2 linked regions of the Caenorhabditis elegans genome follow. The protein of the gene in region 1 interacts with the protein of each later gene in a pairwise test. Each region holds a gene or a part of one and is shown on either strand. Other genes may lie near its edges.

Evidence for each region. Proteins that work in one complex are often made in the same cells at the same time.
Region 2: the proteins of uso-1 (region 1) and unc-87 interact in a two-hybrid assay, tested with the Caenorhabditis elegans proteins (2 studies listed by BioGRID).

The regions. Positions count from the first base shown.
Region 1 is NC_003282.8:13,450,679-13,457,657, forward strand, and holds the start of uso-1 (Uso1_p115_head domain-containing protein), read right to left. Parts: upstream 4,121-6,979; coding exon 4,019-4,120; intron 3,104-4,018; coding exon 3,008-3,103; intron 2,822-3,007; coding exon 2,666-2,821; intron 2,603-2,665; coding exon 2,358-2,602; intron 1,104-2,357; coding exon 853-1,103; intron 800-852; coding exon 715-799; intron 1-714. Other genes in the region: Y38H8A.7 (uncharacterized protein), read left to right, coding at 4,828-4,917, 4,965-5,048, 5,118-5,211, 5,256-5,355, 5,406-5,457.
Region 2 is NC_003279.8:6,760,721-6,767,617, forward strand, and holds unc-87 (Protein unc-87), read right to left. Parts: upstream 4,971-6,897; 5' UTR 4,891-4,970; coding exon 4,287-4,890; intron 4,080-4,286; coding exon 3,871-4,079; intron 3,624-3,870; coding exon 3,465-3,623; intron 3,215-3,464; coding exon 2,732-3,214; intron 2,678-2,731; coding exon 2,543-2,677; intron 1,155-2,542; coding exon 1,047-1,154; 3' UTR 633-1,046; coding exon of another isoform or gene 534-632; 3' UTR 501-533; downstream 1-500. Other genes in the region: F08B6.1 (BPH_3 domain-containing protein), read left to right, coding at 1-71, 534-632. UniProt on the Caenorhabditis elegans protein: Thin filament-associated protein that is implicated in actin bundling and actin filament dynamics. Exhibits F-actin cross-linking activity. Required for the maintenance of sarcomeric actin organization in striated muscles.

The sequences.
Region 1 (6,979 bases):
TAAATGCAAAAAGGTGTGCGCCTTTAAAGAGTACTGTAATTTCAAATTATTCTTGTAATTTCAAATTATAATTATTCTCGAAAGTTTAAAATTACAGAAATCTTTAAAGGCGCACGCATTTTCGCAGACAACATAAATTTGTCGTGTCGAGACCGAGTATCGTCTTTTTGGCGCACGTGTATTCAGCTCGACCAACGCCTCGAAAATTTTAAAAAAAGGCGGGAAAAAATATTTAAATTTCCCAAGAGGAATTTCACCGCAGCGCGTGCAAAAATGTCTGCATTTGCGCGTCACGGTGTTTGCACAAATTACACCGAATGGTCGAGCTGAAAACACGTGTTGGCGCGAAAATCGCAAAAAAGGAGTAATTTTGAGTTTTTTCGTAAAAAATACTAAATTTCATAATGATATTTGTCTAAAACTCGAAAAAGTAATTAAATTGAGCTAAAATCTGGAAATTTGCTGCCGGAGATCGATTTTTTGTCAAAATTTTCACATTTTTCTGCATATTTTAGTATTTTATTTCGCATTTTCAAAGGATACATACCAAAATACAGAATAAATACCAAAAAAATGCGGAATAATTGATAAAAAATCGATTTCCGTGAGAGACAAGTCGCGAAAAATTCAGATTCAAGCAAAATTTTGCCATTTTGAGTGGTTTTCGATTTTTTAGATGCAATTTTTGTGTATTAAATTCCAATTTTCACTCACTGATCTTCTCTGAATATTTGCTGATTCATCGCATGTTTTCTCAATAAATTAAGCATTACAAACATGCAATCTTCGATGACAATGCCTGAAAACATAGAATAAAATAAATAAAATGTTTAAAATTGATTAGCCGCTCACTGTCAAGGGGCTCGGTTTCAATAATATTTAGAAGATCGAGAAATATATTATCATACGCGAGAAGCTGTTGAACCTGCGAGTTGGCTCTGCTCAATTCACAAATCATTAAAATTGCTTCGTTTCGAATAATTTCTCGATTATCATGAATAACGTCGACGAGCTTTGCGATTCCTTGAGGATGCTCCATTACGGCTTTTTGAACTTCTGTTCCACGATGACGAAGCAGGTTTGAAATCAGCTGAATTGCAGTTCTGAAATAGTAAAATACAGATTTTTGAAATAATTTATAGAAGGATTCGGGGGGTTTTTGCTCGTAAAGACTCAAAAATGAGCTCAAATGGACGAATTTCGTAATAGAACTGCTCAAGAAATTTTCAAAATTTTGTATTTTTTATGCCGGTTCAAAATTTCGAAATATTATATAATTACACTGATTTTAGCTAAATGCTCGAACTTCGGCCATTTTTCCGTGTTCCAGCTGTCCGAAATTGACTTTTTTGGAATTGTCATCCTTTTTTTGCATATTTTGGTAGTTTATATCATTTAATTTCGTTTATTAAAGTACATTTAAAGCCTATAAGTAGCCAAAAATCATAAAAAACGGTTACCTATCGTCTTTAAATGTACTTTAACAAACGAAATAATATGAGATAAAGTACCAAAATATTCAATAAAGGACGAGAATTCCAAAAAAGTCAACTTCGAACCGCTGCGACACGGAGAAAAGGCCAAAATTCGAGATTTTAGCTAAAATCAGTGTATTTTTTCGAAATTTTGAACCGCCATAAAAAGTTTTTCAAACATTTTCGAGCAGTTTCAATACGAAGTTCGATTATTTGAGCCCATTTTTGGGGGTATACGTTCAAAATCGTCCGAAATCTTCCTTAAAGGAGGATTCGGGGGAATTTTTGCTCGTAAAAATTAAAAATGCGCCAAAATACACTAATTTTGAAGATATAATTCTCAAAATTTCTGAAAAACGGGCTAATTTCAGTTAAAATCTCCAATTTTATCAATTTTTCCGCGTTAGGACTGCTGCAATGCAGTTTTTATCGAATTTTCATATTTTATTTGATCTCACGTTATTTCGTTATTAAAAGCAAACACCAAAGATAATAAAAAATCGGATACCAAACCAAAAAAAAAATGCAATAAAGACTGTATTTATACTGTTGTAACGCAAAAAAAGGAGCAAAATTGGGGATTTTGCCTAACATCAGGTGTTTTTAATTTCGAAGATTGTCTCGCAACAGCCGGAAATCGATTTAATTCAATTATAATCATATTTTGCCGTTTTTTGAGGAATTTTCAGTCGATAGGCCCCTTATTCAGTGCCTTTGGCCTGAAAATGTATCTCAATCGGAGAAAATACGGATAAATTAAAAAGAAAATTAATTTGCGGTTGTTGTGACACCGATAAGTTGACGAAATTGGAGATTTTAGCTGAAATTAGTGAATTTTTTAAAGCATCTTGATTTTTTTCTCGTTAATTTCGGAATAAAAACCTTCGAACTCCAATATCGAATTGTTCAACGGCGCATAAAACTGAAGAAATGAAGCCTTTTCGTTTAATCATCACTTCGGCTAATCGTTCTCCTAATTCATCGGATTCTGAAGAATCGTCGTCTGTTGACAAAACGATTGCCATCGTGTCGAGCACAATTGTCATGGCTTCGGTGTTCATGCGATCTGTTTCAAGCACGTCAATGAATGCATTCATTCCCATTGTTCCGACGGCTAATCGATATTTCTGAAATTACACGTTTAATTTTAATTGTTTAATTTTAATAGTTCAAATGATTTTTTCTCTCACCTTTGCGACACCTTTCAGCCCTCTCAACGCATCTCGACGGTCTTCTGGTGCCGTACAAGTTTCTGCTCGTTCCACAAGTGTTTCTACATATTCAGCTCCATTATCCTCGTCTTCATCTTGCTGTCCGCCGCCAAAAAAGTTCCGAAACAGCGACATCTGCAAAGCTACACGTGGCAGTGAGCGGAAAATGGGATTGTCGTGTTGTTGAGCGAATATAAATGATAATTAAATGCATTTTTTAATTTAATTTATTTATTTCTAAATATTTTTCTTTATTTTCTGAATTTTAACATAAAATAAATGAAAAAAAACGGGAAAAAAAGAAGAGAAAAGTGGAAAAACCTGTCGTGGAATTGGAGGATGCGTTCTCAATGGAGCGCGCTTGCTGACTCTTTTCGGACTTCGTTTTTTCGCTTGCAGACGTTGACGGAAATTGCTCTGAAAAAAAGATCTGCTCAAAAAGTGAATAAAACAAATATTTCAATTGTTTTAATAACAAAATTTGCATATTCAACTGAATAATAATTATACTGAATTCAAGAATTTCAAAAAAATTGGAGAAAGTTTGGGAAACAGATGGAAATTTTCAATAAAATCGTCGAGAAAACATTTTCTGTCAAAATCCGGATTAAATCCAGAAAGAAGAGTACCAGCTGCCCACGAAAATTTCGGGTTTTCCCCCAAAAGAACAGTCTTGAGTCCTGACACGATCGAAACTTTTCAGCTAAATACCGTACACGTGGCTCAAGCCAGTGGTCACGGTGTTTTATTTTATACTCATACCCAACATTTTGCGATTTTTGCGCCAAAAATACGGTTCCTGGTCTCGACACGACTTTTTTTTTGTTATATTCAAACCAGGGCGCGCCTTTAAAGAGTACTGTAATTTCGAACTTTCGTTGTTGCAGGGTTTTCATCGTTTTTTCATAGTTCTTCGTTAAAAAAGGCTGTTTTTATTTTGTAAAAAACTGAAGTAAAACAATTAAAACACATAAATTTTAAGAAAAACAATGAAAAGTCGAATAAAATGCCGCAGCGACAAAAGTTTAGAATTACAGTACTCTTTAAAGGAGAGCACCCGTTTCCATGCAACGAAAAATTGTCGTTTTGAGACCAAGAACTACCGTATTTTTCGCGCAAAACACATAAAAATTGCAAAATTTCCCGTCTGGCTAATATCTTTAATAAATATAAAGCATAGATTTTTTATAAATTGACAGGCTATTTTCAAATATTAAATTAAAAAAAAACAAAAATCAGCGCTAATATGCTCAATTCAAAATTTTTTAAATTGAAAAACATTGGTTAAAAGTAGAAATAACAATAAATCAATATATTTTGCAACAACTTTACCTGAGGCAAATTGAAAAACGCATTGGAAATTGTCGTGTCACTGGAAAACGATCTAACTGAAAGAGTTGATCCGGTAATTGAAGACGTTGAATAAGCGAACATTTCGATTGAATAAAACTATCGGCTCAGAGAGTGTTAGAGTGCGTAAAAGTGTAATGTAGGAAGAGGGCACATTGAGTGAGTTGATCGGGAGAGAAAAGTGAAGAGAAAACGGATAGAATAACAGAATACTGTTACTTCAAAATGTTTTGATTACGGGTAATGTATACATTTCGATATATATTAGCTTTCAGGCAAATCAACAAATTACTGGAATTGAAATTTCTGGCAAACTTTATTTTATTTTATTTCAATGTGTTTCAATGTTCAAAAAAAGAAAAATTTCCGAATATACTTCAAATATAATTCAAATAAATGCCCAAGTTAGAGTACTCAGATAAATCGAACCACGCAGGCACCGCTCCAAACCACGCAGGTGACTGCCCACCACGCAGTCAACGCGTCAAGACCACGCAGGCAACCAAAAGCACGCAGGTGACGCCTAGGAACCACGCAGGCGACTTGACGGTGGGCAGCTATTGGCAGTGGCTGCAAAACCACGCAGGTGACGCCTACATACCATGCAGGCAGCCAACGTTCAGCCACGCGCGGGATTCCTAGGCCAATGGCTGCGTACTCCTCTTGGACAACTTTTTCTTCTATTTTTTTTTCCTAATTTAATGGAATTTTCCGTTTTTTTTCTTGCAAAAAGCACTTTTATATTAATTTTCAATTTCTTCATGAAACTCAATAATTGTTTTCAGGTAAATATGTCAACCCCGGCCCGAAAAACCCCAAAAGGAGGCCGAAAGCGGCGTGGCAATGGACTGGAGGCGCCGCATTCGATTGGTCGCTTCAACGTAAGATAAACTTTATTTTTAAAAAATATATAGCAACAAAATTTCAGAAAAAACCTTCGGAATCGTTCGTTCGAACTATGGACTGGGATTTCAAAGAGCTTAGGAAAATCGCGGAAAATTCCAAGTCAAAGGTGAACAGAAGTTTGGCAGCTGCACAAATTCTCCAAATCCAGATGTAGTTAAAATAGTTCACTTTTCAGACAATTCCTCCAGAGCTCCTCCACACCTTCAGTGTCCACCCAAATTCGGTGAATCATCAGATTCTTCAAGGAAGACTTCTCAATTGTCCTATCAGTAAGCTATTCTTGTCCAATTTTTTTTTAAACAAAAATTTTCAGGCGTTCTTCACAATATTCTACATGTTGTAGCCGGATTCGAAGGACAGTTCCCGAGTGCGGATTTTGGCGATGTTTTCTCCCGACAGGTGGATCAAAAATGGTAAACACCCTTCTATCAATTTGTATTTCCAAAAATCAATAATATTGCAGCTTGAACGCACGGAAAAAGATGAGCCAGGAAAAGGACACACCATCACACTGATCACTGGGACGAAAACAACTGCCTAATGGACTTAATTTTGTTTCCCACCTTTTTTTGTTGTTATTTTTGAGATTTTCGTACTTTGCGTTTTAGATGGTTAAACGGTAGGAAGGGGAAGGAGCGGGCTGCGAACTGCCATTGCTGCAAGACCACGCAGGTGTCGCCTCCAAACCACGCAGGCAACGCGTTGAAACCACGCAGGGACTGGCATTCTTGAGCGTGGTTTGTACGCGTTGCCTGCGTGGTTTGGAGCGGTGCCTGCGTGGTTCGGTTTATCTGAGTAGTAAATTTTAAGGTCTTTCAGCATATACCAATAATATTCCAGTAGGTACAAGAAGCTTCACGTAGTTACAGAAATAGTACATTTTCAGCCCTACCTTTTAGTGCGTATTTTATTATTTAATGAAAACTACCATTTATAGGCAAAAATAGATGAATTTTCCAAACTTTGAAAATTCATAAATCTTTTGAAAGTAACTTTTTTTGAAATGTCTTTCAGAAACTTTGTAGTAAATTTTAAGCTCTTTCAGCATATACCAATAATATTCCAGTAGGTACAAGAAGCTTCACGTAGTTACAGAAATGTTTTATTTAATTATTTAATTATTAATTAAATGAATAAATAAATATTAATTAAATAAATAAATAAATATTAATTAAATAAATAAATATTAATTAAATAAATTAATAAAAATAAATTAATAAAATAAATATTAAATAAATAAATAAATATTAATCAAATAATAAATAAATAAATAAAGGTACAGTAAATAAGGAAAGTAATGACCCAATATGAGTGGGGGGATTATTAAATATTACCTAATATGGGTGAGTTATTAATTATTCCTTTGGCAGAGGAATGTCGGTGAGGGCTAAGAGTTCCCTGTATTGTAGGTTTTTGGGCCAAGAGTTCCCAGGGTAAAGAGTCCCCCTTCGGGTCAAGAGTCCCCGGTGTAGAAAGGGAAAGAGTTCCCAACAATGTAGAGTAGGTTTAGTGGAGGACTCCAAGGTGGATATGGTTGTGAGGCAGATCGACCAAAGAGTAGGGTGAGGAGGGGGGGGGGGGCAATTTTAAGGAAATATATATAAAAAAAACGTCTAAAAATTAGTCTTTGCGTCTGGTAAAAAGGAAAAGGAAAAAAAAGAAGGGAAACCAAAACAAGTAGTCCAAACTCCACTCGAATTGTCCGCCCAAGTTCTTGTTTGACACCGTATAGTCATGCCTGATCTTGCAGAGAGCCGCCAAAGTCTCCTCTGGCCTGAGGAAATCACCGAAAGTTGCCACTCAATTTAAATCTTCTTTCTTCTTCGCCGATGATTGGAGGGTAGCTAGTCCTCCGTCTAAGGGTTTTTAGTATGTATCGACCCTTTCGGTGTCTATTGCTAAATCTCTGGATAGTCTTGTCTCTTTGAAGGTGTCGTCGAAGAACCCGGCGTCGCATCACAAGCTCGCGAACTTGTGATACTAAACAGTCAGGCGCAAAAACTCGTAGTCTTTTTGCTAAACAGGGTACAGAGGCAC
Region 2 (6,897 bases), on another chromosome or scaffold:
GAGAGAATACGCAACGAGAATTCATTAAATCAACTACTCTTCGGTTAACAAAAACATCGAGATTCACACAGGTATTTTTGAAAAAACGTTCATTTCGAAATAAAAAACTCGAGGAAATTCTCATTTTTATCTGAAACCGATGCAACCAGAAAAACCAAAAAAAAACAACATTTTGTTTTTGAGAGATTGAATTTATTCTAAAAAATTCCGTATTTCAAGTATTTTCTCAAATATTGTGTAATATTAGCTTGGAAATTATGAACAAAAAGTTATAATTGATGATCATGTCGCAATTATAATTTTTAGGCAGAAAATAATTTTCGTAACAAAATTTTCGCTGAAAATAATTTTTTTCGAAAATTAAAATAAGGCCACTTTTGCTTAAATGGGTGTGACTACTTCCGCGGTAATGAAAAATAAATTATATGAAAAGAACAAAACTCCACACATTTTTAAAAACCTTTTTTTGTAAAAAATAACCTTTGGCTTAAAAATCGAGAAATCAAATAATGTATTCATTAAAATATTTGCAGGTATTCTTCACAACAGACATCGAATGCGAAGAAGGTCTATTCTGGAAGGCTCTCAATGACAATATGATGGAAAAACTGAACGCCCTGAACACGAACTAATTTTTTAATTTTTTGTTAAATTTTTAGTATATTGCCTGAAAGTTCCGTACGGGTTTTCATAGAATAAACATATATTTTTAAGTAAATCTATGGCTTGTCGCATCTCTGTGAATTTCATTTAGAAAACTAAATGCAAGTGGTTTAAAATAACAAGAATAATTCTTCGCTAAAATTGCTCATTTTTGGCTGCAACTTACGCAAAAAAGAAAACAATCGAAAAATTTCAAATTTATATGATGAACTTGTTTGGGTGTGAAAAGAATAGGAAGGAAAGCAGGGAAATGGGATGGAGAACAAACAAAAAAGTAGTTTTTTTTGAAGAATAAGAAGAAACATTTGGAGAAGAAGTTGAAGCAAATTATGCACAGGTATCATGTAATTTACGAAAGAAAAAAAAACACGGAGAAAAATGATTTAGAGACGATCCAAAGAGATTTCAGCCTCTTCTGGGTATTCAAGCTCCCAGATTCTCTTCAAGTGCTTGCCCTTAACGTCACGTGGTGCTCCGAATGATGTCATCTTCTGAAAAATTATGAAAAATTAGAATTTGTTTCAATAATTTGTTTTTTTTTAAAGGAAATCGTAGTTTTAAACTTAAAAGTTTGGTCATTTTTCTTCTTTTTAGAATGTATTTATATGTTTTTTTAAAATCAACTTGCACATAATTTGATAATACGGTACCTGCTCTCGCCACGATCGAAATATTTTGAAAATCGAGGCCGCGCAAAAATGTTTGCAAAAAGGTATGCGCCTTTGAATAATACAGTAACGGTTTTTCTACCATTTTAGGTTTCTATTAGGGGTGTCAATAAGTTCCGGGTCAAAATTCATAACTTTTTTCGTGGCGAATCGATTTTTCTGAAAATGTGGGAATTTATGTGATCAAACATGGTCTTTCATTTGACGGTACTTTCAAAAAGTTTTGACCACTCCATGTATCCCAGCTCGGAGACACTTTTTTCAGGCGTATGCCTGATCTCGCTTCTTTGTAACTTTCAATTGAGACTTATGTGCGGATTTTGATTAATTAAGTATACAATGTAAAAATACAATAAAAATTTAAGAAAAAATTGGTTCAAAAAAAAATTTTTTTTGGTTTGTCAAAAAATCCTCGAAAAAATTTTTGTCGAAAGTTCTTGATTTTTTGTACAGGAATGATGCAACCAAGTCTGAACAATTTAACACACAAAACTTTTGAATTTAACATTTAGATTTAGAGAAATTCTCAAAAATTTCAAAAAATGGACTAAAAAATCATAAAAATCACGTTTCAAAAGTTTTGTGTGTTAAAAATTGTTCAGACTTGGTTGCATCATTCCTGTACAAAAAATCAAGAACTTTCGACAAAAATTTTTTCGAGGATTTTTTGACGAACCAAAAAAAAATTTTTTTTGAACCAATTGTTTCTTAAATTTTTATTGTATTTTTACATTGTATACTTAATTAATCAAAATCCGCACATAAGTCTCAATTGAAAGTTACAAAGAAGCGAGATCAGGCATACGCCTGAAAAAAGTGTCTCCGAGCTGGGATACATGGAGTGGTCAAAACTTTTTGAAAGTACCGTCAAATGAAAGACCATGTTTGATCACATAAATTCCCACATTTTCAGAAAAATCGATTCGCCACGAAAAAAGTTATGAATTTTGACCCGGAACTTATTGACACCCCTACTATTAAAAATATTCCTAGCGGAAAAGTTACACAAGTTCTACTCTCAAAGGCACAGGCTTAATTTTAAAATATCCGATCGTGTCAAGACCTCGGACTTAGGGAATTATAGAATTAAACACGTTGGTGATAGAAATTCGCGAGAATCTACAAATAGTTTCTGAATACAGGACAAATTCAGGATACACTAGAATGTCATAATCAAGGGTTCCGTTATATGTTATTAACAATCGACAAACCTTCTGTGAGTCTCCCTTGTTCCATCCAGCTTGACTTGGAATGATGGTCTCAGACACCTTCATTGCCTCATATGGAAGCTCTCCTCCTTCAGCCTCGAATGTTGTGTTTCTGCATGTTCCGAAGCCAATCATACCCTGAAAATGAATTTTATTTATTTAAATTCTATAAATAATCTAAAGAAAACTTACAGCTTGAGAAGCAAAACGGTTGGTACCAGATTGAAGACGGACCATTCCCTGGGATTTACGGTTTTGCCATGAGATTGATGGGTCGAGAACTTCCCAACGTGGCTGTCCGAATCCAGTCATACCCTTCTGTGAAGCATATTGATTAGATCCCATCTGAGATGGAATTGTGGTTTGATCAATGGAACATTCATGAGAGTAATCTGGATGGTTAGAATCAACCATCTTTGTGGTCTCACGACGAGCAGTTCCGAAACCGGTCATTCCCTTTTGTGAAGCGAATTTGTTTGTTCCAGACTGAAGTGGAATTTCAGATTGATCTGGTTTCTCGTGATCGTATTCTGGATGCTTTGAGTCAACCATCTTAGTTGTCTCACGACGTCCAGTTCCGAATCCGGTCATTCCCTTTTGAGAATCATATTTGTTGGTACCGGCTTGAAGACGGACAATTCCCTCGGACATACGGATCTTTTCTTCTGGAAGCTCCTGTAAAAAAATATATATATGTTAATTATTGTTTATTTGCGTTCACAAAAGAATATCCCTGATCTTTAAATCAAGTATTTGTTCATCCGTTACTCTAAGTTCACAGAAAAAAATACCGTAATCTATAAGACGTTCCACACACATTGGAACAGAAATGTGGGAAATTAGAGAAATAATTTATTTTGTTTCTGTCACTTTTTTTTACTGAAGTGATGAAAGGTTACAGAGCTACTATGTAAAAGTAACTTACAGCCAAGTCAGCTGGGTTCTGAGCGACACGGACTCCCTCACGGCACACATCACGTCCGGATCCGAATCCGGTCATTCCTCTCTGGGAGCAATATTTGTTGGTTCCGGATTGAAGACGAACTTCTCCATGGGTTCGGTTGGCAATATCTTCTGGGATTTCCTGGAAAATTTATATTTGAAAATTTTGGAATTCCTTTAAATACTTGACGTTGAATGAAACAAATTGTGGAGGTACCAAGAAATGACATTTAAAGATTTTTTTCATTTCAGAAGAGATAAAGTGAGTAAGAACCTTTGAAGTTTTGTATCCTTAAAGACAAATAACATAAACGGTGACCTAGATTTTGCTTCTATTAAAATAAATTCTTCCACATACCCAAGTAAATCTGACCATAAAATTTCCATACCTGAAGGTTCTCAGACTTGACACGAGTGTTAGTGTTTCTTGGTGTTCCGAAGTTGGTCATCAACTTTTGTGAGTCTCCCTTGTTCCATCCGGCCTGGCTTGGAATAATTCCGTCAGTTTGACGGAGTTGAGCCAATGTCCAGCGTCCGACACGCTTTGGCTGACCTTGTCCGGTGACTTTGGTCTCCATGGTGGCATTTGGTTGCTCCTCTGAAAATAAACGAAAATTTGAATATAGGAGCGGTTAAGTTTGAAGTGATTTCTCTGATTTTTGATAACTGTTGCTTTTTTTTGATTTCCGAAAAAACTGGTTATCAGTAATAAGTGTCTGGACATGGGACAAAGACTAAGACAGCACACAGTTATCTCAAATAAAATTTGAGATATTAGTTAAGACGCAAAGAAAAACAAAAAAACCTCGAATTTGTTGAATTGGTTGCTCCTGATTGTCATAATAATAAACAGGGTGTGGTGACACAATTGTTGGAATTTTAGTTTCTTGAGCACGAGCTTGTGTAATTGGAGTTTGAGTTTTTATTGGGATTTGAACAGGCTCTGAATCCCCAGCAGCAGAAGCTTTTCCCGTCATTTCTGGATAGTCTCCATATCCACGTGGCGATCGTGGTGCAGCCACGAATTGCCGATAATTGGTTGGAGCTTGAGATGTTGGTTGAGGCTGAAGCCCGCGTTGCTCGGAAACAAAATTCGGAACAATTGAAGACTTTGGAGATGTAACTTGTACGTGTGGTACTGGTTTATACTCCTCAAGAGCTGAATTTGTTGTTGGATTCTTTCCGGTAAATTGAATCGGAATATTTCGTTCGCGCGACGCCGTATTGGGTCGCAATCGTTCGAGAGCTTCCGACTGTCTTGGACTTAGTCCACTTGGATAGAAATGCTCAGGAAATAGTTTTGCAGATTGTTGTTGTGGTGGTCCAATTGATGATGATGATGACATTAAATATCTTGATGAAGCAGATTGAAAACTAGATGCAGATGTTGTGTTGTTGAATGATAACATTCTTTAAACCAATTGTTTAAAATATTTCACAAAAATGAAACCAAAAAATGAGCACAGTGGACAAGAAAGTTCACAGAGGACAGTACGGAATGCACAGAAAAGAGAGAGAAAATAGAAAAATGATGAGCGGAGGAGGGTCTCGGCACGAAAACTGGTTCTAGTTAATAAAGTACCAGGAGCGAGAGATGAGTAAAGAAAAACGTGATTACTCTTCCAACGAACACATATGTTTGAACTTTTACTTGGAGGAACAAGGCGAACTTTTTGTTCGAACAAAAACTAGGCAGAACAGCACTCAAAATGTTTGTAAATTTTGTGGGAAATATTATGAGACGTAGAGAAAAAGTGGATTTTGGAGATCCTTTTTGATTGTTTAGGTGTCTAGGAGGTTGCTCATAGTACTAGAACAATAGAGATGGAAGGCCTTGCAGGGCAAATTTTTATTTTCCAATTTCATTAGTGGTTGCCTAGCAAGGCAAATTCCTAAATGCTTACAATATTCAAACTATATCAGTGCCTTTCTAACAGATAACAGTCTTAGAGCGGTAATTATATACTAGCTGGGATTTGTATAACTAGTTAGATGAGGAATGAGGCTTAGGATTAGGCTCAGACTTTCCGGCATACATTAGAGATAGTTAAATTTTTATTGATAGCTCTGATTCTCAACCATTTTTGACTTGAAATCTTAAAGTCTAAAAATAGCAGGCCGGTAAAAAACTAAACTCATATTAAAATATTAACTTTGAACAAAAACATTATCAACCTTTAGGGTTTTCTATATACTAAGTTTACTATAAATCATCTAAGCAAGTAAAGCAAAATCTTTGATCAGTCTAGAACACTTTCTATTTCATTTTATATGAGTCTTCCAATTGAACCAATCAACCGTACTCTTGAATCTCTTTTCACCTAATGAGCGCAAACCATTATCTACACACAAAAACTTGTGAGCCTTAACCCAAAAAAGTGAGATCTGAAGTGGTTGATTGCGCGAGAAGCTTCTTCTTTCTCTCGTCCCTCTCTACTCTATTTCTCTTTATCGGAGAATAAGTTTTAAATAAGTTAGAAAAAAAGAAAAAAAGTTGAAGAAACTAACTGTTAGAAAAGAACAATATTGTATTATTTGAGAAGTCTCTGCTTCTCTCTTTTACTTCCAATTGTTCTTCCTGCTATTTGTTCTCTATAATCTCTCGAGAACATATACTATTTCTTTAGGAGGAGATAGTTTCTCTTAAAAAAGTGATGGAAGATCATTAGAAAAGGAGTCTCTGTGTTGGCTGTTCGGTTTAAGTTTTCGGTTACTACAGAGGTCGCAGCACCATACCCGAAAAGATTAGTGGGAGCATCGAACAAGGGAATTAGAGAGAAGAATTACTATAGATTATATTTATTTTCAAATTTCGTATCGAAATAAAAATTCTTTAAAAGGTAAATTTTAGAATGCATAATGCTTCGAGGCTTTTGTAGATTGGTAAATGCTCACTGGATTGAACCAGTTTAAAAATTATCATTTCATTGTAGAGATCTACAGTCTAAAAATTGTTAATATATATCTACAGAAAAAAAACGTTTCACCATTATACATAAACTTGCAAGTTATTCAAATTTTTAATAAAAATCAATTTACTATATATAAAGCGCGTGTCGTTACGTCACTATGTAGTTTGATCTCTGATCAGAGTAACGGCAAAACATCTGAAAACTGAAGAAAAAATCGTAAAATCTATCAAATTTGATGATTAGCTCATAGACACGCACTCACATAACACACAAAATATACAAATTTTTGACAGTTTTGACCTATTTTCCCGCCCCCGCTCCTGACGCGAAGGCAAACAACAAAGGTTCGGAAAGCGAGGAGAAGGAGTTGAAGCCCATTTTTCGGAGATATGGTTCATCGTTGGTCAGAAGCTTATTGAAAGTTTGCACAGTTTGGAAACACCTTTTTTAAAAAGTTAAATACCCTATTTTTTCTATTACGCTCGCACGATCACTGCTAGACTT